Linked DNA regions of Nothobranchius furzeri. The protein of the gene in region 1 purifies or fractionates together with the protein of each later gene. This does not show direct contact. Links are inferred from orthologs where the notes say so. Each region holds a gene or a part of one and is shown on either strand. Other genes may lie near its edges.

Region 1 (9,813 bases):
ATTTTAAAAGTGACAAAATGAGCAACAGAAGGAGGAAAGCACTTTTAAATCCCTGATATAACAAAAAGAAAAAGAAATCGGGTAATTGACTAAATGTTTTGAGGACATGCATGTCTGCCTAGGCGAAAGCACTGCTAAGGTGGACTGACGAAACACCCTTTACCTTTGAAAAGGACGACAATCACAGGGATTCGTCCTGCCAAAATCAGAACTATACCGTTAAACACAAACCGGTTCGCCAGTTCTTCTTACCCTGGCAAGGCAACGACAAAGTCTTGCTTCACTTCACGGCAGAAACTAGCTTAGTTGACCAAATGATGTATGAAAGGCAGCAACACCCTTTGAAATAGTATGATGGGGGGAGGGGAGGGGGAGAGGGGAAATAAACAAAAATGAAAAAAAAAAAAAAAAAGAAAGAAAACGATGACAGAAATAGAACGCATTAGTCTCCTTTTTTCGTTTAAAACCATCAGCCTCTATCTCGCTACTCCGGAGCCTGCAGAGTAACTACCAAATTTTCTAAACATACTGAAGTTTTAAAAGACTCCCAAAATAATCTACCAATTAATATGGAAACAGTTTTGGTAAAACGTTGCAAACAAGTCTGGCCAGAATACACAACAGCCAACGATCTCGACAACGGTCTCCAGTTTTGCTAAAGGAATATATTGCAGCTGTTTGTGTTGACGTTAAAATAAGATCTTGATAAAGTTTGCGTCAAAGTGGTGAACTGCTACATTATTGGTTACAGACACCTATATGCTATAAAACAACTGCTTTGGTATAAAAACATATCCAAAGGGAAAATAAATTCTTGTAAAATTCACAGCATAATTTGAGGAGAAAAAAGGCAGTCACTTAACTCTTTTTTTTTTCTTCAGTTTCCTTGTTTTAGATGGAGAGACTTGTGCAGGTGGTTCTGATGAGGGACTACATGCAAAAGGGGGGAAAATAAAAACATAAAAGGGTAGACTCTGGAATAGATAGTTCTTTCCACTGCAAAATCCTTAACCAGTGAATTTCAAGGAAGTAATGTTTAGGAGGTTGTTGTGTACAATAAGACCCTGTTATGTGGGGCCCTGCTGAAGACGAAATCTTTGTCAAGAAAGGCCTCAAATTACCATTCTTATTTACCATTTCTACATTGTTTTAATTTCCTTAAAGAATTAAGGGCTGTCTAGAGAGAAAAATAGAGAAAAGCCATCTTAATTCGAATGATAATGTCCATCTCCATTCCATTCCAAGTCCATGAGTCATAAGGCCAAAGGATTATCTAGAACCAGCCACTGACTTGTCTTCCTTTCCCTGGGCCGGATCCTTTCGTCTCCCACGCCCATCGCTGCTCTCGCCTGTGCCGGGCCCGGTTGCAGCTTGCAGGACCACAGGACCTCTAGGCCTACGGGGTGGTGCTTCCCTCTCCTTTAACCCGGTTGGTGTCAGCATCCACCTACGGGGTCTTCTTTCCACCCGGCCAGCACACGCATAGGGACTCCACTGCTATGTGCTCCCCTTTAACAGAGTCACACAAAACCGACCAACAACAAGAAATATCACTGCAAACACTTCCCCTCGTTGTCAAGCTACAGGATTTACAAGCAGCTCTGATGTGAAATTTCACAAAAAAAAAAAAAAAAAAAGAGGGCAAAATTAATTACCAACCAGTGGAACAATAATGTCAGGCGCTCCACGGTTTGAACCTAAAGGACACCAAGCATTTCATCACCAACAGCTCGCTGCAGATCAGCTTCAAACTTTGCTCTGAAACGCTCCTTAGAAGGTTTTGCCACATAATACCATATGGTGATTACTTCGTGGTTACATGAAACTGGTGAAATGGTAAGATGGATGTCTCAATCTCACTATGGTTATTCTGCAGTATTATTTTGTGCCTAATGATTGCAAAAGAAAAAACTGATAAAAATTACATATATACTTTTAACAAAGGTTTTTCTCTGTAGTAGCGGTTCAGTGATATCTCCCTTCTGACGTGAGCAGCTTTTGATCTCAACACACCTTGTAGTAAAAAACACCACCTTAAAAATGACGCACAGGGGGAACACACAGCCAAATGTCAGTGCAGTCACGAGCTGGCCATAGAACTCTGCTGCACACATACTCCAGTCATTGGAGACTCCTCCCGGTCCATGCCCTGCCTCATGCCCAGGTGACCTTCCGCTAGGTAATGGGCAGGCCCTGTGTTCGTGCCCATGGAGAATGCAGGGTGCGCTGCCATGCCAGTCTCCTGCCGTGGGTTCGAGAAGGCACCTAGCCCCATGCTCAGCCCACCATTCTGACCAAAGTCAAGGGCTCCAGCGGGTAAATGGCGGAGCTGGTAGGCCTGGTTGCCATGGTTACCAGTGGAAGAGGATGATGTAGAGGAAGAGGAGGCAGAGGAAGACAGGGAGGTCATGGACAGATGGCCATGAACCACCTCCATGGAGTCCTGTGTTGAAGAGCTGTGTGTCGGGGAGGTGTAGTGGCGTGGACGTGGACGAGTAGCCATCATTTGCCCATGGTGGTGATGAGTGTGTGAGTGGGGATGCAGGGCCTTAGGGTGCTGGGGGGGAACATGGAAGGTGGTCTCCTGAACTGGGTGGGTTTCTCCAGTGACTGACTCAGGTCCAACGCCACCTCCCCACACCAGCGGGGGCGGGTAAGGCTGCCTCGCCTGTAAGAGCCAAATAAATAAAATGAGCCAGGTGTGAAATACTTTAAGTAAATAAAAAGTATCTAAAAGGTTCGGTGCAAGTGAAGACAAACACTTTCCCACACAACATTAACCACGTGTTCGCAGATTTCAACTTGCTGACCTGTGGACAGAGGCTGTCACCATCGATTGCAGGCATCGTCGTGCCAAAGTGTCCTCCACTGTGCAAGTGGTGATGGGTCGGGTCTGATCTCGCTCTGCCACTGGTGCTGGTCCCAGATGATCCTCCTACGGGTTAAGTAGAAGTGACACAAGTACATCTTCATTAGCTTCATGTCAAATGCTACATCAACCTCAGCTTAAGCTCATAGAGGCAGAGCTCCACAACTGTGTGTTTTACAGGCTTCTAACACAGCTGAAGTGATGTAAAACAGTTGATTTGCTCTGTGTGACGAGTACCTGAACTAGAGGAGGTGCTGGAGGTGGTTCCAGAAGACTGTGACTGCTCTAATGCGGGGCTTGTAGACACACTACTGCTTGTATTGGTCCCCTCATCAGCAGTCTTCTTGAAGAAGCTGTGCTGCAGGGCATAGTAGGGCTGGATGCGACTCTTAGGGTCATAGTCCAACATCCGAAGGATCAGGTCCTTGAACTTCAAGTAGTCAGCAACAGCATGGCCGGACTCCCCCGCCCGTCGGCCACCGGGACCCCCTGTCTCCACACCCAGGATAGAGTGGAGTTTCCGCGAAGCTGGAGGCTTATACTGTAAAAGTACAAATAAAATATTCACCAGCATGTCAGTTATAATTACCAAAAAGTACCTTTCATTATATTCAGTGGTCCACATGCACACAAGAGAGAGAAGTCACCCTTTTGCCATCTTTGGTCTTCTTAACACTCCATGTACCATCAGAAAGCTTCTCGAAGAACTTCCTGGCTTTGGGGGCTAGGTCCATTATGTGATTAGGCGGGATCCCAAGAACCTCAACTATTTTGTTCATCTGATCCACCTGAGGAGGTGAGCAAATCGTGTTACTTCTTTATACACAATAAATGCTGTAAAATACATCATCTAAAAAACCAAATGGTTCAGAATGTTTTAAGGTTATGAAGTCTTCTTTTCTATCTCCAATGGTTACACAATCAGATTTAAAATGCAGACACAAGATGAAAGCATTTGTCATCCTTCACTGAAATATGACCACCTAGCTAATGTTTCAGATTGTTATACCTCATTGGCTCCACTAAAGAGAGGCTCTCCAGTGTGCATCTCCACCAAGATGCAACCCAAGGACCACATATCGATGGCCAGGTCATAGGGCATTCCCAGCAGCACTTCTGGGGAACGGTAGAAGCGACTCTGGATATACTGGTATATCTATACACAAAACACACATAAGGGACAAATTAAAAAAAATAAAAAAACGTAAAAAAAATAAATAAATAACCCACAAACAGTTACTTATTGACTTTATTGCACCCAACTGACTCATAGCTGATGAGAAATACTGCTGCTAATTACCCTTTGTCCCAGTTGGCATGAACTGCCAAAGTCCACTATTTTGATGGCACTCCTCTTTGGGTTACAGAGGAGGATGTTCTCGGGCTTCAGGTCACAGTGGATGATGCTGAGCTCAGGCGTGGCCAGGAAGAGTAGCGCCGTGCATAGCTGCTGGGCAAACTTCCGGGTGAGATTGAGCGAGACTCCGCGGAAGTTGGTATTTCGGAGCAGGTCGTATAAGTTATACGACAGCATCTCGAACACGAGGCAGAGGTGGTTCCGAAACATGAAGTGTCGCTTTAAATGAACTGCAGAAAAAGCAAATTATGTCCATGTTAGTCAGTAACAAACCCCCTGGCCTTTTATTTTTCTGATCAGATTAGATGCTAATTTCAAGAGTGGATTACCAATGTAGTATTTCATCTCGGTATCATGTTTGTTCATCAACTCCAAGAGGCGCACTTCTATCTGGGCTTGATTGAGGAAAGCTTTCTTGTTCTTGATGATCTTAATGGCAACCCATTCCTGCTCGACTCGGTCATACGCTTTCACAACCTAAACACGCCAACGACAAACAGTTTACAGTTTGCTCAGCATGAAGTTTTTACGGATTAGTTTTGATATTAACGTTTAGGGTCAATAATCACAAAAGAAAATGTACAGAAATGCTGGTTAATACTTTTAGAAAGAACATTGTATTCTTATGAATCAAATAAACGTTTGAGTGGAACTGATAGTGAAGCACCTGTCCAAACGATCCTTTTCCTATCAAGGAATCAATTTCATAGCGGTCCATCCATTTCTCCCCATTCTTGACGATGTAGTCATAGTTATCATCGTCATAGCCATCATTGAACACTTTCCTCTCCTTTTTATGACTGGAGTCTTCACCCTGACCCTGTTGGTGCCGTCGCTTCTTTTTTGCATAATACACCTGTAAGTTAACACATTACATCCCATAACCACACACACAAGTCTTTGACGAGCTAATGAAACACACAATGATCTTTGTTAAGTTGAATCTTCTAATGGATTATTTTATCATGATCTCACCAACATGACTTTGTTTTATTCAATAAAAATGCAGTAAATTAAAACATGTTGCATTTTGTTTCGTCTCAGCAAAAGTAAAAATCTAAAAGACATTTAAAAAAAAAGCTGCAGTAACTTTAATTGTAAGCATATCCAATATGATTAAAAGTATAGCTGGTTAACTCTTTCAGCTGCTAAAGTAAATAATTAGTTTAGATTTAAATGCATCAAAACAAACTAAAAAAACAAACCTCATTGATGTGTTTGTATGTTTTGATAAGGTCGATGGAGAGCTTCCTCAGGGGAGCTGAAGTTGGGTCACGAAAGCACTGGGGCATGTGCCTCTGGAGTGTCACAGGTAAAGTATTCATGAACAAAAAAACACACGGCAATTTCATAAGAAACAGCATCCTCTTGAATCATTGCAAGTAATGATGGTTAACAAGACGTGATTAAACTGAAAGTGACATTTGACATGTAGCTGCTCTGCCTAGTGACAGTAGAAAAAGGGAAGTAGGCTTTGATATTGGACCCAAAACTGTAAAACCTTGAGGAGCTATGTGGTGGGGTTCGTATACCTGATTGGCAGTGAGCTGTGGTGTCTGGTCGCTGTACGGTAAGACTGTAACAGATTGGTCAGTGCTTGGCTGGTGGCGGTCACTGTACTGCTGGTGCGTATGGGGCATTGGAGCAGCCATCTGAAGACCAGCAGTGTGTAAAGAAAAAGAGGGCGCAAGCCGGACGGACGAAGGTTTGCATGCTGAAGTCTCTCCTCCTAAGAGAAAAGAACAATGTTAGGGAATGTACTTTCACTTCAATCCCCAATATATAAACTGACAAATAACATTAAGAAAGAAAAAGTTTATAAAAAAATGGTATGTTATATTCTCATTTTCATGCTAAACATTTTTTGCATTACAGTTAAAATAAGTGTCATTCAGACTGTACAGATTTAATATAAACTTCTCATTTTTACTATTTCAAAAAAGCAACAAAAACCCTTTACACCTTTACAAAAATGCGCAATTTTCATTATGAATAAAATATATTTATTTATAACATGCATGTTAAAATAAGACAGGTCTTTAATAAATCCATGTTAGGAAAAAAAGGCACAGTATCTGAATTAATGTTTAGATATTGCATTTTAATGAACATGTTAACCAAATCTAAATTGCATGAAAAGGACAGCAAAAATAAAACAGCAGCAATGTATCAACCTTTGTGAAGAAAAGGGAGAAAACGGTAGGTTTAACAGTGAGAAGGGGCGAGAATACAGCATCTCCACACTGTACAGTGAATCATCCTTCATTTTAAGCCAGAAGGAATCAAAAAATTATTAAATAGCATGTTCAGCTATCAGCATCTCTCACCAGACAACACAATTCACCAGCGCTACACAGTAACCACTATTCAGAATCCCAGCAACAGCACCTAATTAGCATAGCCTATCACCACAGAGATACAGCGTGATTTGGCAAGCCCATCAATGCACAGACCAATCACAACGCAGTATGCAAATAGCCTACTTTTGTTGCCAGGGCAGAGCTGCTCCCATTTTCCAATGAGAAAACAAGAAATAAACAAGAAATAAAACTGAACTTTGGCACACTTAGACGTTGCTTTCAACACAAGAGCTTGACAGTAAAATAGCTGCACAGCCTAAAACCTGCACTTCATCTGAGAGCGTTAGAAAGCTGACCCAGCTTTGGAAAAGCAGAAAATACACATCCACTGACAGAAACAAGAGGAACTGTAAAGTGATAGAGCACAGACAACAAGGTATTTGAGAGCCAAGACGCATCTCTTTTTTCAGCCACTATAAATATGTTAAAATACACATTTATACCTTTTCAGAATGTAATTTAAACAAATTAAAAAGTGAATTACACTTAAGATTATATTAAATATTTGTTCATCTTATGAGCTCTAAATATATCCTTATTATCCATCATGTCTTTGTTACTGTTTATCCTGCTGTGTAAAATAAATGTTACCATTATAACCTAAATAACTAAATAAAAACTACCATCAACAATTTAAAAATAATAACTACAGTCCCGGGCAGTTCAGATTGTGTGACTTGGTCCTGCTCATGATGACTCATAGATGTTAAGTCTTGAGGCCAAATTCAAAACAGCAACATAAGTTAGAAAAGATCATAAGTGAACTAGTTTTCCCCAGCAAAGGGTTAAAGCCTAATGTACAGCTGCTAACCTGGATGCATCTTCTGTTTAATTTCATATCATCCTGGGAGGAGAGTCCAGCAGCAAACCACAACCCACTACAAAGAATAAAAACACTTTATTATAATTTTGCATTTTGGGTGGGATTTAACATCACTGAGATTAAACCTGAGTTAAGAATCAGTGACAGATGGCCACCAAAGATGATAAGGGACCCCCAAAAACTTGTAAAAGTGAGCTGGATGTGAATGCTGTGGAAATAAAACAACTTAAAGCATATTTTAAAAATGTGTGTTAAAAGTTTTAAATTTCAGGTTTTAACTATGAGCTGCTTGAGATTTTAATGAATTAAAATTCAATCGCAAAGCTGTAAAACGGTTAAAAAAATAAATTAAACAAATCAGAATTCACATTGTTGTGGGCCTTGAGGCTTTAGCTTCTTTTAGTATACTCTAGGGTAAAAATGTTATTTAAACGAGAATTTTAGCTTTAAATATACACCAATAAAATAGACAACTGTTCGTCTGAACACAACTATATTTAGTGTACAGGACTATGTAATTTTACAAAGAACTGGAGGGAAGTAACTAGTTTGAGAGTGCTTTACTTCTATTAGACAGTCTTGAGACTTGATTTTATTTAAAACGTTTAAACTAATTGTAATACAAGTAAAATAATAGTGGTACAAAATGCCAATTTTTAGCACACTTGTAGCTCTTTAGTCTTTTCCTAAACGTCTGCTTTATCTTATTCTTCAGTACTAAGAAATGAACAGTTCCTTTCTTGGCTCTGGTCATTATGGCATCTGTGGGCCTATTTATGTGTAAATATATCGACAGCTAGCTTGATATTAGAAGCCGAATCGTACAAAAGGATGCTTAAAGATCTCTGTAACAAGCCCCGTGTGTCATCCTCTCACGCCCAACTGATTAGATTCATTCCAAAGATGGATCAAACATAACCGATCCAAAACAATTAAATGCTAAACGTTCGCGGGGAATAAATATATACCGAGTCGGTCTGTACTTACAGATGATAAGGTAGATCTCGTCATGGTTGGAATTTAGAAAGCATATTCAGTGTTAATTTTCGTCTTCTCTTGCTTACATATTGTTCGTGAGGCAGTCCAAATCCTCAAATAGATGATATTCCCCGTCACGTTACCGCTAGCGGACTAACTAGCTATAACGCTGTCGTCGTTACCCTGAAAACTGCGGGGCAGATGAGCATATCTCTCACCAGCCCGACGTTAGCTAGTGACGCTGTGTGCAGCCAGCGGGCTATGAGGCCCATGCAGTAGATCAAATCGGGGAGGTAAGCTAACACGGCTTCAATCATACAATGACAGGACCCAATATAGCACGGTTAGCAGGAACATTAACACCGTGCCATCACGACTCTCCGTCCAAACTCACAGTCAGCTGGAAATTCCTTCACGTTCAGCATTAAAACCCGTCTCTTGACCTACTGACTGTAAGCAAACGTTAACCCTGGCTCCACAAAATCTCTTAGCCGCCACAACTTCACTACCGCCTCCATCATTGTTAACCATTCACGCTACATGGGACATATATACGTACGAGAAAAGCCAAATTAACGCAAATGTGAAATAGAACAGTTTGGATCTGCTTACCTCTAATGGCACGATCTTCATTTAAAGTCCAATAACCTGTATGATGAGGAAACTTATCCAGCTTGATTCTCCACCTCCCTGCACGGTTAGCGAGTAAATCCAATCCCCCGTCCTCTGGCCGGCTAAAATAACTCACCAGTCACATCTAGTACGCGCTTCATTGTCCAAGCCTTGCTGAGCAACATCCGTGATCGAAGTAATTTCATCAAACGTTACTATCAGCTGATGACCAACAACATGCTAACTAGCACGGGTAACTTACTGGCTAACCTTAGCTGGTTCACAAAATGAAGGCAGCTAACATCAGCTAGCTCCTTTGACTTAGCCTGAAGCTAACGATTCTAGCCACCGCTAAATAAACGTTATGCCAAATTCTGATTTAACGCTCGTCTTTGCGACTGAAATGTCGGTCACCTCGATGAGCGGCGACAACGCGATTACATCTAGTGCATTTTAAACACTAAGCAGAAGCCGTGTCCTCTGATAAATTTTGGTTTGGAATTTTGTGTCAATTTTCACAAAATGGCGCGCGGTCCAAACCTGCGCAGTGAACCGGCCCGGTGGACCAGAGACACGGACAACTGAGTTAGTGCGGCACCGCCTAATTATTTCAACTAGGTTAAAACGTCGGGCTCTTTGTCTTCTTAATAATCCGATCCACTAGACGCATCTCGATATCCAAAAACGTCAAAAATATATCCACTGACAGCATTATTCCGGCGGGAAGGGAGAACATTTGAAAAGACTGAGCTGGGGGGGAAAAAAACCCTCCTGACAAAATGGCGATGCTCTAGCTTGTTGCTATGGAAACTGT
Region 2 (11,023 bases), on another chromosome or scaffold:
AGGAAGATGTCGTTTTCCTGTCAGATTAAGAGTTTCAAAGATCAAAAGCTGTAAAAACCAAACACACTGCAGGGCCGACTTTACACACACAGCTGACAGGTGTGGGTACCCACCTGGTCCTGCAGGTCATAGTCATAACTGTCATGCAGCAGAAGGCTGAGAACGTAGCGGGTGTAAATCATGGCATCAATCCCGCACTTCTCCAGCTCCTGGCCAAGCCAGCTCTGAACTGGACCCAGCGACTGAAGCAGGGACATCTCTGAGGCAGGAAGGGGCCCCGCGAGGGGGTAGGGGCAGGACAGGTTCTCAGGAGGAGCAGGACCGTCTGAATCGGTGCTCACTGGACGCATGGGACCTCAGGTGTTGGCCATTCTCAGGCAGAGAAGCATGGTGACAGTAGTTCCTGTAGGGCGGTGGGTGGAGAGGAGCGGCGAGGCAGAACCTATCTGGATGAGGGGGCTGTCACTCCAGCAGGACGGACTGAAGGGGTTCTACATGGGGAGGATTTTTTTTTCTTTTTATTGCTTAAAGCAAAAAAAGGTGATTTTACTCATAAGGCATGGCTTATGCTGCTGAAAGATCTCAGCTGCCGAGCAGAACTCCAGACGTGTTCCCGTCGTGTTTAGTCAGCGGGGTCCATCTTGGGACTGTCTGACTTCACCGGCACAACCTGGAACACAAAACAAGCGCGCCTCAGTTCAAGTGCGTCACTGTGATGCTAATAAAACCAGACATATCAAATACTTCATGAAATAAATATTTATAAATAATCTGTGTGATTCGAGAACCCTGAGAAGTTCCAGAACGTGGAACACATTAGAAGTTAAGATCTGAACAGTTTAAAGGTGCAGTATGTAAGAATATAGAGAGGATTTTACAGTGAGATAATCCCAGAAGTTTCTGTCGTTTCAGCAGGAGCATGTTTCATATCCAGCTAGCTGTGGTCAGTTCCTCTTTTCAGAACAAAGGAAGGAGGGACGTAACGACTGTTAACCATCAGTGAGTGTGGGGGTGCCGTGTCTGCTGCGAGCTCATGCTTCAGCACCCAAAGTGTTGGTTAAAGTGGTTGCAGTAACCCCAGGATGTCATTTTTACTTCATTTCCGCATGATGCACCTTTAATATGTGAATGGACATCTGCTTTCTGCTCAGTAACGTTGCATTCTGACTCCAGTTCTGCTTTCATTTAGGAAATCTTTTTGTTTAAACTTTAACAGAAATGAATTCCTAATCATTTAAAGGTGGAGTATAAAACATGAACACCACAGCAGCATCTAGCTTAAGGAGGCTGCAGTTGCAACAGCAGAACAACGTTTCCAGCCGTCAGGACAGCGGCTTCACTGCTGGTATGTGAAATGTTTCATTTGGGTCCATCTGTGGAAGGCTTCACCTAGACTCACTCTGGTTTTAGATCTTTTATGGTCGCTCCTCTTCTGAGAACGATAACATCCTCTGGGCTCAGGTCTGCTGTTTTCCACAGAGCTGTGCCGAGCGACCTGTTTGGCAACACAATGGTGCCCTCTACTGGCTGGTAGATGCAAACATACACCCAGGGCTGTGCCCGTCAGAATAAATATTTGATTTAATTTTAATTAAAATAGGTCTTTTAAAGGAAACACTGTACCTTCATTCTGCACACCTCTAAACGCCCCGTGGAGGTTAGTTTCAAAACATTAAGCAGTACCATTTTCAGCCTTTATTAACAGAGGACCTATTCCTGAACTATTAGTCACCATTTGTTTTATGTTTATACAGTCTGACCTTTCCAATTTTTAAAAAATGCACTTAAGCTCAGGTCGATTAATGAAAAACGCTTGATAGAGAAATCTGTTCAGGGTTTTTAAGCCTTTGTCCAAATCCAACTGAAACTTTTAACGCCCCTGCTCAGTGGCCTAGTGGTGGAGCGTCTGCTCTGGGACATCGGGGTTCAAATCCTGGTCGGGTCTTACCAAAGACTTTAAAAATGGGACGCAATGCCTCTCTGCTTGACACTCAGCTTCAAGTGTTTGTATTGGGGGGGTTAAACCACCAGTTATTTCCTGAGCACAGCCGCAGCTCACCGCCCCCCATGTGGACGGGTCAAATGCGTAGCTGTAATATCACCAGTGAGTGGTGATGATGATTATGGGATGTAATTAAAGGAGAATTTTCCAGGCCGATTCATAAAAATGAGAAAATTATTTTTAAAAGATTGTTTCCTTTCATCGTCTCAGTGCCATAGTGATGATGAGTTTCAGTGTGAAACAGTCCAGCACTTAAAGAACCGTGAAAACACCTGATTCACCTGCTTCTGGCTCTGGGGTCAGATTAAACCAGTCTACTGTCATTCTTAGATCCAAATGCGACTTCAGCTGTAAAACATAATCGATTATAAATGATAGGACAGGTGTCTCTTTGGCAGCTGCAGACCCCTGAACTACCACGGATGTCTATGACGTAACAAACTACAACACCTACGTCATTTAAAAATCAGCTGTGAGGGGGCAGATGAAGCCATGCGTGTCTCCCGGATACCAGAATCCGGTCACCGGCGTGCAGAGCAAATGTAGGCTGCGGGGACGTGATTGGCTGACCGGAGCGTCATTCTGTGGCGTCATTTCAGAGTGAAAGGACAGGATAAACAGCTTTACCGGTGCGCTGCCCGACACTGCTTCATCACGTTTACCTGCGGGTCAGAACCAGGGGCAGACTGGCCATCTGTGGATTCTGGAGAATCACAGAACGGTCGGTGGAATGGCCCACCACTCTCCACGCATGCTTTCAACACCTGTCCCCCCCCCCAAAGTTCCTTCACGCTCCTGCACTCTAGGTGGCAGCACTGCACCTCTAAGTTGGATGCCAGCTACATTGGCTGTGGCCGCCAGGCAAGGAGAAGAAGAAGCTGAAGCGGAGAGGAGGCAAAGGCAGTAGAAAAAAACGATGCAAAACCCGGTGTCGATACAGGATCGGCTCTGGGTCCTTCGACTGCCGATGACGTCAAAGTACGGCAAACCCACTTGGACAAAATACACTACACATCTATACTGTTGGAAAGAATTGAGCAGTTTCAATATTAAAATAATGTTTCTTTAGACGCAAGTTTGTGTTTACAATGGTATTTGTAAAATAAAACACTATATTGTATTCCCGAGCGCAGCTTGTCTGCAGCTCACCGCTCCCCCAGGGGATGGGTCAAATGCGGAGAATAAATTTCGCACACACACCTGTGTGTGACAACTAATGGGACTTTACCTTTATAATGTTGAACTCCTCTTTGAGCACATCCCTTGAAGGATCATAGGTATTAGCAACACCTGTGAAATTGTGTTTGCAGGAAAGAAGTGTGTCCCGTTTATTGAAGTATTTTGTGTTTAGAGTTGTTGACGTCTTGTCCATGTCCATGTCTTGTCCGTAGTTCAGTTACGCTCATAGCTGCTAGCCAAAACTCTGGAGTTAAAAGTTTTCTGCATTTACTAAAATACCTGTCTGTACTTATTTGATTGATGGTAGTTTTACTTTCTATTAGACTCCAAATGTAATCATTTGGCACGTTTCTAATTCATAATTTGTAAGAATGTAATCGGTGATGTTAGCATTAGCATTCCTATGGGTTTTTCCATGTATATTAGCATTGCGCTAACCAATCGCTGCCAAATTGCAGCCTTTGCGATTAGAAAATCCCCTTTTGTCACATCGCAATTTAATTGCACATGCAGTAATCGTTCAGCCCTAATATACATGCAGCTCTATGCTAAAAGTGTATTTTCAAAGAGGTAATGATGGATTTCTTTGTAAAAGTCGTCCATCTTTCTTGCCTGGACCAACGTAATGTGATTACGTAATTCTGTAAGGTTCATGTTCAGCCAATCAACTACTTTGACGTCATCGGCAGTCGACGGACCCTGAGCCGATCTTGCACCCGAGCGGATCCTGTACAGACACCAGCCGCTAGTATAAAAATAAAAAATAAGGAAAGAAAAGGGTGGGGCTAAGGTGGGCATTAGATGCTGAAGCCTCTAAATGTCACAAATTAACCAACATATTTAGACGCACAGCCAGCAGCAGCACCTCGCAGCAGGTTCACAGCAGTGAAGAAGTCAGGCAGATAGCTACACAGCAACATGCCAGCAGTAATGAGGCGCTGGTTCCACAGGCAGATCCAGGGGAAGTAAGAATGGAATGTATGAGGAGAAACATTTGCAAGGATTGATGTTAGGAATTCATGTTTAGGTTGCTATTTTATTTCATGATAACAGCCAAATTTCAACATTTTAGCTGTAAAAGGACACATGCAGTGGGTGATAAGAAGTATGTTGTGGTTTTACGTAAAAAAGGTTGGTAGTAGTGTTCAAGTACTGCTCACAAACTTTGAAAATCTTAAATATAGAAGTTACATTTATAATGTTGCATTTTCATTTAGATGTGGTATTATTTGTGCAGTAAGAAGATTAATTACTGCACAAATTAAGCTTATCAGTAATACAGCTTTTAATACAACATAGTCAACATTAGCGCTGTTGCTATAATTTCGATGGTTTGACCACATTTTTTTGCTGCTGAATTTCCGCGCGCCGATTACTTTGGGCCGGGCCTAGTCAAAGTCCAGGACTGTTTTTTAGTCCCAGTCCGTCCCTGGTCAGAACCGAGCCCTGTCGGGTTGGCCGGGCAGACGCTAAATATGGCTGACCAGCTTTCCCAGCCAGCTGTTGTCTTGGATTAGCCACCGCGGAGATCCTCTCACCGACAACTTCATTCAATGAGCTCCTCTCCGCCTACGAGTGGCCGTTACATCTGCTTCAGCCTCGCAGTGAAAGGTGGAAAGCAGGAAAAAATAACATGACATTGGTTAATATTAATACATGTATTTAAACCAATAATGTAGCTGTTTACACATACAGCTGCGACACCGGTGAGATTGTGTAACAGTTGCAGTCTAATGGGGGTTTTAAACTTGGGGCGGAACTATTTTGGCTCATTCTGCAGGCTAGCTGGACCACCGACCTTTAGCTGACGAGCTAGCTTAGCCGATTAGCTTCCCTGAGCTGTTCCGTTTTCTGACACTGATGTTTGACCCTTTCGTCACGGTTATCTAACGGGGGCTCTTAACGTGAAGCTGCACCGAGGCTCGCGGGTTTAGCCAGGTCGTTTTCCCTGTTTCTGCTGACATTAGTCACACTCCGCGGTGTTGTGACGGACAGGTGACCGGAGGCTTCTGCGCTGCATCAGAGATCCGACGATGCACTAAAAGACGACAGAGCCCGGCGGTGTTGGGCCGAACGCGCAGCCCCAAACAAACCACATGATCGCGCCTTACGACCAAGCAGAACAGCGCAGGAATGTGTCGGGGTTTGAACCATAGCTAATATTAGCTTTCACGGAGCTCCGCTTGTTGTTGTGACCGAAGGGGGAGGAACAGCGGCAACCCGGTACCAGAGGACTGTCAGGCGTTTTTCCCCCCTGAAAATGTGCGCCATGTCGATACGGCGAGACCGTAAACAAATTCAACATTACACCAAAACGAGAGCTGGGGCTCGCAAATGCGGACCAGAAGCCCCATGCCGGCTCTTACCTGCCGTGGCCTGAAGTGGAGAGGAGCAGCGAAAAGGGAGCGGCTGTTTCTCTCCCGCTGCCGTTCCGAGCTCAAGCTCTGGAATCCGCTGCGGCAGCAGCGCGTATCATGGACGCCGACAGAAATGGCGCTGTTTTCACGTCTAGCGCTTCTTCACCAGCGTCGAGCGAAGCCGACGACATTCGGGCTCCAGCCAGTGAAGGGTCGTTCCTTGATGACAGGGAACGCAAAGCGCCACAATGTCCGCCGCCGGACGCCAGTTTCATTTGGAGTGCGCCACCCTCCGCGTTGGTATCCTAGCAACAGGACGAAGCTCCGCCGTCCTGCTGCCGCTGATCGGATCCCTCCGCAGGAGTGTTGCATCAGAAGTCCAACTAGTACTCATTTCTGCACTGCTAAATTTAACTGGACTCTAGGCAGAGTAACCGCAAAGAACCAGTCAGTATGTAAACATGCAACTCACATGATGTTTGTTTTTCACGCAACAACAGTAGAGCTTCATGTTTGAATAGTAACAAATGTAAGGAATGGAAATCATTAAGGCCCGATCCACACAGACTAGTTTACATATTCCACATATCTGTAATTGAATCCAAAAGCCAGAGTCACGCTATGACCCAGAATAGATACAGCACGTTTTCCTTTGTTTCTATTTGTTGTTATGCATGTACTTTACAGTAAATAACAATCTCTTCTAGATCCGATGCCTTTCCTAACTCTGCAAACATCTTGTGTTTGAGGCTAAAACAGGATGTGGCCGCTCCTGGACGTACTCAGGCAACTTACACTCAATATCTTCTTTATTTCAGAAATATGTTCAAACGCATGCTAAAACCACACAGCTGCCATTCGGTGCATTTAGGCGCACGTGGAAACTGTTTCCCTGCACCAGCACACCTGGTGTGAGTCAATGGATGATTATCAGGCCTCTGGAGAACTTGAAGACATGCTGAACAGCTGATTAAATTATTGAATCAGGTGTGTTGGAGCAGGGAAACATGTAAAACATACAGGGGGCTGGTCCAACACGCCTGATTTGAATCGTTGGATAATTAGCTTCTGGAGAACTTGAGGACATGCTGAACAGGTGACTATTGAAACAGGTGTGCAAGGAAACATCTGTAACATGTGTCTCTAAATGCTTTCATGTCGATGTGGCTCAAAATATCTGAGGAATTTCCATCAGGTTTGAATGATTGTAGCCATGAAGGGTTAAAGAAACTCTGAAGGTAAAATTTGGTCAGTCAGCTTCTGTTTTAACTTTTTTCTTCATCGGTTGTTTTCACACAACTAGACAAAAGCAAACGCTTTTGTTGCTCTGTGTTTTTGAGGCATTTTGATATTTTAGTTGAAACACAGCTCTGGTGAACTTTGCACGCAGTCTGTGCTCCTCAGAGTAACATCAGCAGATGTGAGCCAACAAATGACTGAATCAGGCTGTGTGATCTTAACAAGGCTTAGAGGGTCCCGTAGGACCCGTTAGCAGATAAATATTGATCTGTCTTTGATCCTTATCTGGAGCCAGAGTAAGACACCCAAAGGCTGACCTCAGAGTTCAGAGACACCAGGAAGTGGTGAAAAACATCCCAGTCGCTAATAAAAAAAAAGTCTGCCCTGCAAACGTTCAGCTCTTCCTGTAACGGATCAGATCTGATCTGAGTTTCAGCCACAATCGCAGCAACACGGCATAACTAAACTTTTGCTGAGCTATCTGCTCTGCTCCTCGCTCTGACTGCAGTCTCATGTTCCAAGAGTTAACTGAAAGTCCATTTGAAGCACATGGCTCTGGTAAAAGATGTCCCACAATCCTCTTCCAGGCAGGGGCCGGTGAAGTTATGGTGATTTCACTCTGGAGCTTTAAAGACCCAACAAACACAAAGCTCCACCTATAATAACTCCAGCATCACTTCAGACAGGGACATTAAACTGAGACGCTGTTTTGTGTTGTGGCATGTTTTGGTAGTGATAGTCCGGTGTTGGCTCACCAGTCCAGTCCTACCTCTTCAGTTTGGAGTCAATCTAATCCAAGATGGAAGCAACAACTAATGTTGGTCAAATTTAAGGGCTGCATCCTTCAAAAGCCGATTACGTCACAGAGATGCAACAAAGGTCGTCCAAATTCTGAGGCTCCTTGGTAAATGGTCTGTATTTGTATAGCGCCGTCTTAGGGTTCTACAACCCCCCAAGGCGCTTCACTACAGAATCAGTCATTCACACGCTGGTGGTGATGAGCTACGATGCAGCCACAGCTGCCTTGGGGCGCACTGACATAGGCGAGGCTGCAGAGCACATGCGCCACCGGTCCCTCCGACCACCACCAGCAGGAAAGACGGGTTAAGTGTCTTGCCCAAGGACACAACAGTAGAATTCTCTGGTCGGGGCCTACTGCTGTCCTTCAATGCATCCTTGTGATTTGAACGATGGGACTAGTGCATCCTTCTTGGCCCTCCTTATCCCAAGATTCATTGTGGGCTGAAGTTTTAAATGTGTCCTAACCTCCTAGGACCCTGTGTCCACACGCATGGACATTGGCTCCTTGCACTAAAAATGCTTATTCTCTTCTACTTAGACCTTTTTGTTATTATTTAAAGACACTTTATATGACTTTAATTTAAATTTCTTTTTGTTGTCTCTTTTTTTTAGTATATTTGAAAACATTTTTATTTATTGAATTAAAATCGTTGTAACTTTGTTTCTGTTAATTACAGTCGACTGATCTGTAATAGCTAGATATGTTTTTTCTTTTACATCAAACCAAATGCAACTTTTGGTCTCAGGAGGTTAAAATCTGGGGTATAAAAATTTAAAAGCTTCAAATGATTGTGTTGTTAGGTTTGTGTCATTTGCATAGTTTAAAAAATGTCAAAAGGCTTGACAACTCATCGTAAATGAGTTGCACGGTGATCGAGAATCCAATAGAGCTACATGGAACATTTGTTAATCCAGCTAGCTCACATTAACAGTCTAACTTTGGTTAACTCTGTTAGCTGAGTAGTTGTAATTTCTCCAGAATACACGCTTGTATAAGAAACTTATAACACTGGATTTAAGTGGGCCAAGTCAGTATTAGCTTAGTTATAAACAGCACGTGTGTCCAGCCTCTAATCCACCATCACGCAACCATAATGAACACGTTTGATGGTTGCTCAGTGTGTTTTCCAGCGGTGCGGTAAAGCGGAAAGACTCCACACTAGTCCAGGTCAGGACTTGGACCATAACGGAGCTCTACACATGGGACCAAACCAAGCAGGCGACCCTGACCAGATCAGATGTCATTTTGAACATCTTAGGTGTGTTCTTGCTGTGTCGTGGTTCTAATTCCATGCTTTCGTTCTTTTTAAACACAGAAACAGTTTTGTTTACCTGTTTTGTAGCTACAGTTTCGCCGACGGCTGCCGGCTTCTTCAGGCTGACGCTGATGGTGGCGCGTCACTTCCTTCTCCGTTTATCTGTAGCTACAAAACAGGTAAACAAAACTGTTTCTGTGTTTAAAAAGAACAAAAGCATGGAATCAGATGTCATTTTGTTGTATTTCTGTGGTTTATCTCAGGCACCTGAAGCTAATCACATGCTATCCAGATAATCTGACGGATCTCATTAAAGCTATTTATCATCATCGTCCAGTCACACGTCAGCTCTCACAGGGACGGATGTCTCCTGAACATCAAACAGCAAGTGAGTCTCTCAGCTGACACACTTCTCACACTAACTAATCCTTTTTAGAGAAGTTAAAAGCTCGTCCACTGAGGGACCAATCACAGCTCGGTGCATTTATCAGAGGGACCAGTCAGCAGTGCCTTTGAGGAAGGTACAACTTCCCCACCCCTTTAAAGCCATATGGTTCCTCTTTACTGTCTCCAGACCTGTTGACTATGTCCGCTCTGGACTTTGAGTGCAGAGCACATTTGTCGGTAAACCATCTACAGCTTGGAGCTAATCAGAAACACAATCACCAAAACAAGCCGGATCAACCTAAATGAATGCAATAATGCCCATAATTCCCGTGTGGTGCTGCGTCTCCTCGTCTCACCCGTTCTCTTGATCATCACTTGTTGCTGCAGTCATGTGCGTCTTGCAGAAATAACAGGTGTGCAAAGTGTCATCGCGAGCCAGAGCATCGAGGAAAGAGAAGTGCTGAACTTCTGTATTTGACTGAGTGTTGATCATTAAAGCTGATAATCAGCGGTTCTTCTGCAGGTATTAACCAACCCTAACCTGGTGCCATGGTCTGCATCCCCCTCATGTGTTCTCCAACCCCCCTCCAGGTTCTCCCCTGAGGTTCCTGTGCCCCCTTTTTTGTATTTATATTATCAAGCTAATTTTTTCCTGTAGTTTCTTCGGTTCAGGTTTTCTTCTAGGTCCTTCCTCACTGGTTTATTGGTTCTCCTTTCCTCCTTAGATCATTAGTTATTTATCTTGTTCTTCTAGTCTTATTTATAGGTCATGTTTTATTTCCCCTCTTCAGCTTCTTCTTCTTAAGAGTTTTACGGCGGCCGGCAACCAACTGAAAGGTGCATCACCGCCCCCACTGTTCCGGAGTGTGGATCAGAGTTTACAGTCTATCTTTCAGCCCTCTTCAGCTTAATTTCCTCTCCCTGATTAGTAGATGGATTTCACCAGGTTTCTCTCTCCCCACGCACCTGCAGCTCATCTCCCAATCATCCTGCCCCCGTGTATAAAACCCTGTCTCAATGTGTTGTTGGTCCATTGTCCTTGTCAACATTGTCCTCTCCCCCCTCCCTCCCCTGTCTCTAGGTTTCTGGTTTTGTGCCCTCTTAGGTTCTGTTTTTTTTTGGCTAAATCATTCTTAATAAAGGTTTTCTCTAACATCCTCTCCGTTCTGGTATCTGCACATGAGTCCAACTCCTCCATCCCACAACGTGACACCTGGGGGGGTACTCCTGTGGTGTTACAGTCTGAATTTACACGTTAGTTTCAAATCACCACATTTATATTTGAAATTCAACATTTTCAACAGTTTTATTTATTCAAAATGGTGTTTATGTAGAAAAAAACATTTTTCTAAATATTTAGAATTCATTTCCAGGATTTTATTCAAAGTATTAAATTTTCAGAATAGTTGGATTTACCTTAATAAAGAAATTTTCTCCACATTTTTAATTATTTTAGATGATTGAACTCAGTGTTTAGGTCTTGTTCTGTTTCCTTTAAGCAATAGTATTTATTGTGGTAAGACACCTTTTCCTGTAGTAACCTGCAGCTGGAGATGGGTCAGAGTTCCTTCTCTAATTTCCAGCCCGACATCAGAGTGAAAGGGTCAACACCGTTTAAACGTGAGAGCTGCTCTGTTCTGTCTTCGTTCTAAGATGCTCATTGTTTCAGGTTCTGTATGAAAACACAAGCAAAGAAATATTTAATTACACTGTTTGTTGAACCGCTGAGATCATTCTAAGAGTTTCAGCCAATAATGAATATAAAATAAGACTTTGTAAAACCCTCTGAGTCCCTGTGAGGT
Region 3 (10,470 bases), on another chromosome or scaffold:
TACGTTGTAGCTAAAGATGCCCTGGAGCACACTGACAGGGGTGAGGCTGCTGAACACAGGCGCCACCGGTCCCTCCGACCACCACCAGCAGGCAAGGAGGGTTAAGTGTCTTGCCCAAGGACACAGCAGCAGCAGTCTCTGGTCGGAGCCGGGATCGAACCTGCAACTTTCTGATTACTGGACAACACACTCTACCTCCTGAGCTACAGCTGTCCCCGTTAGCTTCTACTAGCTGAGACGTTCTCTGTTGTTTCCTGGACGCTAAACCAAAAACAGCCTTCCCCTTCGTAAGTCAAGATGGGTGAGTCCATGAATGTTAGGTGACAGTGTGACGTAGATCTGTCAGGATTTTCTAATCCTAGAGTTTCACAGTCTGTTTTCTATCAGAAGCTAATGCAGGAGATAAGTGTAGGAGACTATTTTCATGTTCAGCCTGCATGAAAAACTGTTAGAATCAGAAATAATCACTAAAACATTTTTTTCAGTGTTCCCCACCTTTAAGATTTAGATGAATAACAAGAATAAAGAACCACAATTTATTTTAAATAAAAACTATAAAGTTTAACCATCAGCATTTATTTATGTGTCAAAGATGAATGTAAGAAAATGTTAAAGATACGTTTTTCATTCCTCAGACAGAAAAAATGAAGAGGATGTTATCACCTTGTACGAAGGCAGATGTGTGAGTAACAGGCATGGACCCATCGTAAGGGATGGACAACAGTTCGTTAGTTGTCATGGAGTATCTGTCACGGTTACTACGGTGATGGAGGGAGCTCACAGGGAGGTTCAGGAAGTCCAGCTCCCTGTCTGTCAAACGCTCTCTGAGAACTGCAGATAAAAACAAAAACTTTATCCAAATTTAACAACAAAACAAGAAGAACATGAATTCTGTGTGGCACAAGCTACTACGAGGACCTCACTTTGTATAAAGTGATCTGTGACCTTAAATAAGACATTGTGCATTTTTATTATTTAATATCAAACCGCTTAGAATGGCTCTAAGCTGTGTCCTACCGTCTCGGTTTCTGAGTGAACCCACTCTGGGTTTGGTTGGTGTGTAGGGCCCATTGTGAAGAACCAGACTTCCTGTTAGCGACCTGCATTTCTGACAACTCCTGTCAAAGTCTGAGATGTAGGCGTCCAGTGCTGCTGAGGCTGAGTCATAGTCCTGCCAACAATCGATCAATAATTATCAATGTTAAGGTTTCCCTTTTCCCAACAACATCAGAATACTTGCATATATTACAAAACTAGAGTGAATACAATGTTACTAACATGACAAGAATTACTTTAAAAAAATCAAGAAGAAAAAATAATTCCTGCTTTTATTTAAGTTAAGTGAAATAGAATTCCAAATGGGCTGAATATAACAATTAGTAATGAATTGTGATTTTATCAGAATTTAATTTTCCACATGGAAAGGAGCCAGCTAAGATGGCTCGGGTTAGCCTTGCCTAACCCTAACCCTGGATGCCTCACTGGTGAGGTCCAACCAAGAGGAGACCTAAAGAGAGATCCAGGACATGCTAGAGGGACTAAGTTTCTCAGATGGCCAGGGAACGCCTTGGGATTTCCTCAAAGGAGCAGGCCAAAGTGGCTGGAAAGAGGGAAGTCTGTGCCTCTCTGCTTAAGCTGCTGCCCCGTGACCCAATCCTGGATATGTGGACAAAAATAGATGGATGGATGGATTTTCAAACTTGTATAAAGAATAAAGTCATTGTTTATTAGAATACCAGCTTGGCTGCTGCAACAAAACCAACACAGAAGACTCTGTGAGAGGCAATAAGAGCAGAACATGAACCTTGTCTCGATATCTGATGGTTGTGTCGTGTTCAGGAGGCCTCAGGCTGCTCCTCAGGTGACCTGAGCTCGACAGAAGGGAGGTCACGGTTGACTCAGGAGATAAACAGTCATCTACCAAGCTGCTCAACTCCATGCTGGTGAAAATAAAAACATTTCAAGGTTACAGTTTTGGTAAAAACAACATTTTTTTTCTAAGATAAGTTTTAACATCAGAACAAAAGGTTTTGAAAAAGCCTTTGATCCTCAGCAGATCTTAAAAATAAATCCAAGATGGGTCTAAGCTTCAGCTTTCAGACAGATTGATATTCATAGCTACAGAATGAGCCCAAACCATCAACCCTCCACCACCGTGCTGACAGCTGGTATGTGGCTTTCTCCCACCGGCTCCTGTGACAGGTTTTTATACTATTTATAAGTTGGTCTTGTCTGTTCCACTGTGATTTTGTTCAGATGAAACTAAAAACTTCGTCATCCTGCAACCATTCCAAACAAGTTATATTCTATCAAAAGTTATTTAGCTTTAAACTGCAAATTAAGATGTCTTTTTTTTGCTGAATATTATCCATCTGTTAACTTTACTCATCGCCTAATGTCATTATATCAACACAACTGACACATATGGTGGCTAGCAAATAACTAGGCGGTTTCAACACGATTATACAGACAAAAAAGCTTGTTAGCTGTGATTTAGTAAGAGGAAAAGAGCTAACAAACTTAATTTCAAAAGTTAGCTAAACTTACGACTAAATAGCACCGGCTAAACGGAAGTTTCAAAACAAGCTAACCATCAAACGGAGCTACGAGACGATTTACTGTCCTAAATGTCTTCGTGTGTGTTCATGTAAAACGAAGAGCGTTTAAGAGACATTCAAGGATCCCGGGTGAAGGTAAACGGTTAGCTGGTCCGAAATCAGTTCATCATGTACAGTCTATGGTTCATCCTGATGGAACTGGCACGATGACGTCACTAGCATCCAGGCGGAAGTTCATAAGAATTTCTTATCTTTGTTTTGTTTTGTCAGCATTTTTATGTAATGGATTTTAGTAAAACAAAATCTTAAAGAACAAACAAGCTTCCGTTTTATTTTCTTGTTTTTAACCTGGCTGGACACGTTTGGACTGCCCCCTTCCCTTTCCTAAGTAATGGTACAATCCACCGCAGGATTTTTTTTTAATGAGAACTTTATTGAAACACAATTGTAGAGTTCAGAAGATAAGACGATCGCTCTTACAGATTTCTAGAAAATCATACATAATTCCTGAAGGGGGAAAACTCCATATTAAAGCTTTAATAGTCTGGGTGGGTAAATGAGGGACAACAACTCTTTGAACAGTTGATATTTACATTTTATTTTACAAAACTGAACAGTTTATAGAAACACCTTGATGTTCAAGTTCTGAGAAGATTCAGACATTAGTACACGCTTTTGATTCAATTTCAGTTTACACAAAAGTGTGTTTTAACCTACTTTACAAGGTACCAAAGCTGATAATCAAGTGTTCAAATGGTTCGTTTTCACCAGCGATGTTATTACAAGAATCAGAAAAGCCTCAACAGTGATTCTGTTAATCAGAACAAATGCTGTAAAATTTTTGATTTGTTATAAAATGTGTGTAGATACCACACACACACACACACACACACACACACACAGTAAATTTATAGTTAGCATTAAGAATATTTTCTGACAGCATTCCACAACATTTATGGTTTAAAACCGCGTTTAGAACATATAAAACACAATAACACTGAACTATTTAACAAACTAAATAACAAAAGTAAAACTCCATAAAACACTTCACATGTTTGTGGACCTTTCAAATAAACCTGATATCGTTCATTCCTTTTAATAAACCAAGAGGTGAATATTCTCTTTGACACCGTTCTTTGTTTTTAACAAACACATCAGAAATGCTGCAGAAAAATCAGGAAGGTTCAAAAGCATGTGGAGTTTTACTGTTCTGGGCTGCGAGGAGATTAAAAAAACATAAAACTGTATTAAAAAAACAATAAAAGAGTAAAAATGAGCATATATCAGTTTTTAGGATGGATTAAATGTTCTGGTGACTGCTCTGACTTGTGGTTTCTGTGATCATGCTCCTGGTAACAGTCAGAACTTTGAAGTCATGGTTAAATTAAAATCTGCTTTGTGTTATATAGAAACCTAAACCACACCACCTGGTCTCTAAGGACCTGCAGGTTGCAGCAGAAAGTCGTGTCAGGATTAGATCGGCTCGCGGCTTCCCTCTGAGTATTTCAGTTTGTTGGTTTCATCAGTGACTCTGCCGCTCGGACACGACGTCCTGCAGACGCTTCAGCAGAACGTCTGGACTGCTGCCGTTCTCCGGACACGCCCGCTTACTGGGCGAGTCGCACATTGGTGACATCATCACATCCCCTTCCATGTTGAACGCCCTTTTCCTGTTCACACATCCCTGTCGGATCATCCGGTTAATGTCTGACAGGTCCTACAGAGGAGACAACAGTTAGGCTTTCCCAGTTTTTCTAAAATTTATGAAATAAGTGTTTTTTTTTTAATGCCTTAATCTTACTGGGCTGCAAATGTCGGCAACAATCTTTGGTTTTCTTGCTCGAGTTACAGAACCTCACAGTCATGCTGCTGGGATTTTCTAAATATTAAAAATAAATCATTTACTAAATTTCCCCTTAAAATAGTTCAGAATTGTTGCAAGGATTGGAAAACTCCAACGCTTTTCAGTTCAGTCACGTCAGAAACTGGGCCATAAATGGGATTTACTGTTTAGTATTATTACCGATTCAGCGCGAGTCCAACTAAAATAAGCTTCCAGTTTTTTCCCCTAATTTGTGTCTCCAGCTGGTTGTTGACAGAGGTTTATAGCAGAAATAATCTTAATTTCTTTCAATTTAAAGGAGTGGTTCACTCATTTAATCAATACATTTACAGATTATGTTTATGTTTATTCATTTAGCAGATGCTTTTATCCAAAGCGACTTACAATTTCAAACCTATAGGGCATGTTGTGATCTGTGGGGGAAACCGGAGTACCCGGAGGAAACCCACGCATGCATGGGGAGAACACGCAACTCCACGCAGAAAGGCCGCAGCGGAGTTTCGAACCTGCAACCTTCGTGCTGCGAGGCAACAGTGCTAACCACTGCGTCACCATGCAGCCCACAATGGTCTCTGGTAGGAATTAATGCCTTGCAAGCCGTACTCCGGGCAAAAAAAGCCCAGAAATGCTTGGATCAGCACCAAGTCTGCTGCAGCAGAGAGTTGCTAATGCTAACGAAATGGCAGAAATGCGTCTACCAGCCAAGATGCGCTCTGCTGATTCCTGGACGTTAAACCAACAACAGCCTTTCCCGTTATGAGTCAAGATCATCGACATAAATATACGGTCAAGATGGGTGAGTCCACGAAGGTTAGTGACAGTGTGGCGTAGATCTGTCAGGATTTTCTAATCCTAGAGTTTCACCGTCTGTTTTCCATCAGAAGCTAATGCAGGAGATAGGTGTAGGAGACTATTTTCATGTTCAGCCTGCATGAAAAACTCAGAGTGACCCATTAGAATCAGAGATAATTATTAAAAATGGTTTTTCAGAGTTCCACACCTTTAAGGAATTTAACTTTTTTCTTCAAATGAACTGAAATTCTAGATTTTATTTTAATAATGTGCTGTTTAAAAAAATCATTAATCAGCTTGAAACAAGACGTAAGCTTTAAGTAGCTCACAGTGTGTGTGTGTGTGTGTGTGTTTATACTTGCCTTGGAGGGGCTGCTGTTGATCCTGTAGGTGAAGGAGCTCGGTGTGAGACAACCAGAGGAATTCTTGTGAGGGGACACGTACAGCGAGTGTCTCTGACTGACTCGGCGAGGAGACAGAGGCTGAGCTCGGACCGACGGGAACGGAGACAGAGGAGGAGCGTCTGCCTGGAGGATCCAACAAAGTCACACCAAGAATGAATTAGAGACACCGCAGCCTCAGCCCAGAGGCACATTGTTAGAGCAGAACGAACGCTGTGACGATGTTGTACCCGATTATCGTTGGTGGCGTATCTCAGAGCGAAGCTCTTCATCTTCAGGATGAAAGTGGTGTTATAAAACTGAATGAGGTCACCGCGTTCCTCCTCTTGTGATTGGCTGGAGTTGGTGTCACCTCCAGCCTGACTGGTTTTCTCTGCAGCTGAAAAAACAAATAAACTCATTTAGGGAAAATAAAACTTTAACTTTGATGGTGGTTCTTATAAATGCTGGAATTAACTTTATACTCAAAAATGTATTTTTTAAATGCATTTTTATTTATTTAATTTTCATCTTACTCAAACTAAAGTGAATACATAATATACAGCCACAGTCTAAGCCAGGGGTCGGCAACCCGCGGCTCTTCCATCCATCTGATGCGGCTCTCTGTGCTTGTAAAATAATGAATGGATATTTAAATAAAAAGCTTTATATTTTACTGCATTAATTTTACATCTGTATGCCAATTATAAATGTAAAGATTGTCTGCGTAAACCTGAACAGGTCCAACCCGGTCTTACTGTGAGACCGGGTTGACGGGTCACGCTTGTGCGTAATCATATAGGCGCATTCTGAGCTGAAGACAATGTGAGATTCTGGGCTTCTCCTCAGACGGCCCCTGGATGTGTCGCCACACTGGAGACAGGAACAAACGCTATTCAGCCAAAGTTTCATCATCAGGGAACATTTTCTAAGAGTCCAGCTCAGATGTTCAGATGGGAATCTTTTCTTGAGTGATTTAGCTACATCTGTGATGTGCCTAACGAATAAAATGTCAGTTCGTCTGCATGCGTTGGGGTAATTCTTTCTATTCTTTCTCCGTCAAACAAACGGCCAAATACGGAAACTGTCCGGTCAACACAACACAAGCCCTGCTTTTAACTGTTCTGTTTTCTGGTGAAAATTGTTACAAATTTAACTTGATTAACACCAGAGCCAGGCGCACTGCGCCGTTATCTCCGTCACTGTAAATGAGGGGAAAACAAATTGATCGGATCCTTTTCTGACCTTCCCCACCTACAAAGTTTAATTACAACAATCAAACGTGACAGAGCCTGGATTTGTATTCTGAACAGTCTAAACATGTTTTAAAAAGAAACGTACAACAAAAGTGGCACCTGCTCAGTAAAACCACCAACAGGGTGAAAAATATCAAAATACTGTAGGCAGAGACGGGCTACAACTTCTGGATCCATTTTATATAAATCATTTTATTGATTATCTTCTTATGAAAGACAGCTTTTATGTACACGAGCGACCGGTACTGGCTGCTGTCACCTGTTGTGATTGGTTAAAGCAGCTCTCTGCTGTCTGAGGGTAGGCCCCGCCCACAACGTCGCGGCTGCTGTGGCTCCGTGTTTTCTTTACTGTGGGAAACGGGTAATAATGGCTCTTTGATGGGAACAGGTTGCCGACCCCTGGTCTAATCAGTCATCTATGTATTATTTTATGCGACGTTCATGATGAACCCTGATGAACTTTGCTGGCCAAACCTGGAAAATCATTTGTTAATGTTTATGTATTTAGTCTGAAGAGGCAAACATCAGTTTTCTAGCTAAATAAAAAAAAAAAAAAAATTGACCTATATTTTTGGCTAAAATGCCTTTAGAGGAGATCTAAATGTGTTTGTATGGAAGCGTGTGTCTGATCTTACATTCTCCACCCGACACAGCATCCACCTCCATGTTCTCGTCAGCTGGCTGCGCTTTGGGAGTCCGCCGTAACAAGACGCTGCGGTAAACCTGATCACACAGACAGCGTAAGCCTCCAGCAGATGCGAGGTGTAACTTAGATTTCAGCGGTTTTTGTGTTTCTCACATGGCTGCTGGCTTGGGGCTGGCTGCGGTAACACTTCATGATGTCCTGGAAGGTGTGAGTCTCTTTGGTGATCTGAGAGGAGAGCATTAAAGCCGTGCTTAAAGGAACATAAGTTACACCAGCTGATCCAATAACCGACCTGCCAGGATTTTTAGCATAACCACAGAGAGCAGAATCCTTTTAATTCATAAAATCTATAAAACGAGCAGCTTTTCTATGTTTGATAACAGGAAGTTGCACCCAGGGCATCAAGGACAGCTCGCTTTTATTAACCAATACACATTTTTGGTCTGTAATATTTTAGTGGAGGCTTTTAAACTGACAGCAGAAACTCACTGGCAAAAAGGAGCCCAGACTGGCTGATGTTGTTCGTCATATAACCACTGTTTGGATCTCCTCATCATTAAAGTGAATCCCAGAGTCCTCAGTCTGACTAGTTGTGTGTTCGGCTGACTTCATTCAGCCTGAGAAGACGTTTGGTTCTTGGTTCGTTAACGTGTTGCAAATAGTTTCTCTACGATCGCGCAGAAGCTGCTGTTCAGTGAAACACTCTGCTGGCTGGCATTTTCCTACACAGCTGCTTCGTTAACTCTTAGTTATCGTTCTTACTTTGGATATTATATAAATGCTGCACAGCAGCAGCTGGTCGAGATGTCGATCCTTCATCAGCTCAGTGCAGTGAACCAGCGCGTGCTCAAAACATGTCCAGATTTTTCCTCGCAGCTCTGAGGAGATTTCCAACTTCAGGCACAAATCCCTCAGGCGTACACTGGCCAGGTGATACACCTGGAGGGAGGGGGAGACAGAGAGAGAGAGTTAGTCAGAGGAAAGACAAATGTCCAGCAGAAGATAAACAATCATCGTTTATTTTTTTAAATAAACAAGTGAAAATCTTTCTCACCTTCCTGAAGAACAGAGCGATTGACCCGGTGCATCGAGGCCGCCCGTTCCCCATCTGAGGGTCAGAGGTCGAGGCAGCAGTGAAGTTCCGGCTCGGAGAGGCGGTCAGCAGAAACTGAGCTGTGACGACGCCAGAAGAGTCACACGGCTGGACTGGGATCAGTGTAATGGTACGGTCGCTGCTCACGCCTGAAAATATTCACACAAGAACAGATGCTGCAATCAAATTCACATTTTATTAACCTCCCAGGAGCTTAGCTGTTGTAACCTTTGATTTATATATACTGTATATATATATTAGGGGTGGTACTTTAACGTTAATTATGATCAATTAATTAGAAAACAATTATGTGTTAAAAAAATTCACACATTTAATCACAACTTGTATTTCAAGCAAGGCGGAACCTTTGTCCTTGCATGATTTCCTCGTAGAGCGAATATCACTGACACACAACACAGTGCTCTGATATAACGGGTACTAAAACAGAAAGAAATCGTCTCGCTTGGACCAATGCAGTATTTGGGAAACACGTCACCCTCTTCTCTTAACTTGTTAAAAACAAAACCTTCCTGACAACTACGGAGTCCGTGTCGCGGGCAGAGATCGTCTCTGCTGCTGCTGCTGCTGCCCGGTGGCACCGGAAACTTTACAAAAGGTGAGATAAGCTATATTTTTAACATTTATGTAACATTTGTGCAGCTTTGAGGGCACTTTTTCCCGAACGATTAAAATGCGACTAATTAGAAAGCCTCTAATTAACTAGATTAATTATATATATATTATATATATTATTATTATATTATATTTTTATATATATATATTTTTTTACTGAGAAGCAAAACATTTTTTGTGAAGATAATCAAGTTTTGAATCAATAATCCTAAAAATAGCAAAAAGAATGATTAAAAATAACAAATCCTAAGTCAGATGTTCAGAGCTTTATGCTGAGGGTCAGTTACTATCATTTAATTACAATAAAACAAAATTCAGGAGTTTCATTATATGTTAAACACATTTCTGCAAAGAAAAAAGACTCATTTAGGTGAAATTAGTAACTTGATCCGTCTGCTGGTTAGGGTTCTCAGTCATCCAGGTTATGGTAATTCAAAGGATTCAAATGAAGGCGACTGGACTGGAGTTGCCTGTCCTGAAACAGAGAACTGTACTGTAAGATGGACAGGTGTGCTCACCTTGCAGTGGGATGCTCAGGATGGTGGTCGGGGCTCCCTGACCTCCGCTCTTCAGGGTGCTGCTCGACCCGAAGGTCAGCCTTTTTGCCGGAGAAGGCAGAGGGCTCATTCTGGTGTTCAGGCTGACTGAAGGTCCTGGAGCGTCATCGCCAAAAAGTCGCCGCTTGGCACTGCCGGCTGCAGGAGAGCTGTACCGGTCATGGACTGACAGTGGAGAAGGAGGGACTTCTGTAGGAGAAGAGGAGACAGCCCTGTTGGCTTGAGGCTGAACTTCTGGGTGCGACATACTAGTAGAAATGTGAGATTGCCCATTCACCTTTACGTGCACTCCCCAGGCCTGATCTGAACTCCCTGATGCGTGGGTGGATGATGGGGGAGTGAGCCACCAGAGGTAGGTGAGACTGACCATTGGTGGAACCAGAACCCGAGTCGAGACAGGAGGAAAAGTTCACCTGAACAGGGACGTACAGATCCCTGTGAGGTGTCTCCTCCAGACAGAAAACTTGTGTTTCCTTCTTGTCATAAAAGAAGTTTTTCTAACAAAAGTCTGGTTTTATAAATCTGCAGAGAGCTCGTGCTTCAGACTTGTGTATAAAAGCTGATTATACCTTCAGACACCACAGAAAGTCTCTGTAAATAATATTTTTGTGTGTTCCTGTGTTGGATGTAGGGCTGGGCGATATGACGATTTTAGACCGTTTTACGTTCTACACATCTGACGGTCTGTCATTTTTGAGAGACCTTTTTATCA

What was found.
Region 2: the proteins of dyrk1ab (region 1) and kiaa0232 purify together in Homo sapiens (affinity purification with mass spectrometry; 3 studies listed by BioGRID and IntAct, with this or other methods). This does not show direct contact. The link is inferred for Nothobranchius furzeri from reciprocal best matches to the Homo sapiens genes DYRK1A and KIAA0232.
Region 3: the proteins of dyrk1ab (region 1) and rbl1 purify together in Homo sapiens (affinity purification with mass spectrometry; 3 studies listed by BioGRID and IntAct, with this or other methods). This does not show direct contact. The link is inferred for Nothobranchius furzeri from reciprocal best matches to the Homo sapiens genes DYRK1A and RBL1.

Annotation. Positions count from the first base shown.
Region 1 is NC_091753.1:50,167,596-50,177,408, reverse strand, and holds dyrk1ab (dual-specificity tyrosine-(Y)-phosphorylation regulated kinase 1A, b), read right to left. Parts: upstream 9,138-9,813; 5' UTR 9,000-9,137; intron 8,557-8,999; exon of another isoform or gene 8,397-8,556; intron 7,465-8,396; 5' UTR 7,408-7,464; coding exon 7,398-7,407; intron 5,956-7,397; coding exon 5,759-5,955; intron 5,525-5,758; coding exon 5,432-5,524; intron 5,083-5,431; coding exon 4,894-5,082; intron 4,704-4,893; coding exon 4,556-4,703; intron 4,457-4,555; coding exon 4,170-4,456; intron 4,026-4,169; coding exon 3,879-4,025; intron 3,658-3,878; coding exon 3,517-3,657; intron 3,411-3,516; coding exon 3,107-3,410; intron 2,936-3,106; coding exon 2,811-2,935; intron 2,669-2,810; coding exon 2,081-2,668; 3' UTR 1,858-2,080; downstream 1-1,857. UniProt on the Homo sapiens protein: Dual-specificity kinase which possesses both serine/threonine and tyrosine kinase activities. Exhibits a substrate preference for proline at position P+1 and arginine at position P-3.
Region 2 is NC_091754.1:63,556,751-63,567,773, forward strand, and holds the start of kiaa0232 (uncharacterized protein KIAA0232 homolog), read right to left. Parts: upstream 5,822-11,023; 5' UTR 5,548-5,821; intron 671-5,547; 5' UTR 351-670; coding exon 114-350; intron 18-113; coding exon 1-17.
Region 3 is NC_091743.1:73,519,005-73,529,474, forward strand, and holds the end of rbl1 (retinoblastoma-like protein 1), read right to left. Parts: intron 10,172-10,470; coding exon 10,036-10,171; intron 9,948-10,035; coding exon 9,720-9,947; intron 8,718-9,719; coding exon 8,530-8,717; intron 8,415-8,529; coding exon 8,238-8,414; intron 7,701-8,237; coding exon 7,629-7,700; intron 7,553-7,628; coding exon 7,465-7,552; intron 5,974-7,464; coding exon 5,825-5,973; intron 5,721-5,824; coding exon 5,556-5,720; intron 4,438-5,555; coding exon of another isoform or gene 4,420-4,437; exon of another isoform or gene 4,352-4,419; intron 4,276-4,351; coding exon 4,081-4,275; 3' UTR 3,873-4,080; downstream 1-3,872. Other genes in the region: c3h18orf54 (lung adenoma susceptibility protein 2), read right to left, coding at 664-831, 1,018-1,171, 1,805-1,939. UniProt on the Homo sapiens protein: Key regulator of entry into cell division. Directly involved in heterochromatin formation by maintaining overall chromatin structure and, in particular, that of constitutive heterochromatin by stabilizing histone methylation.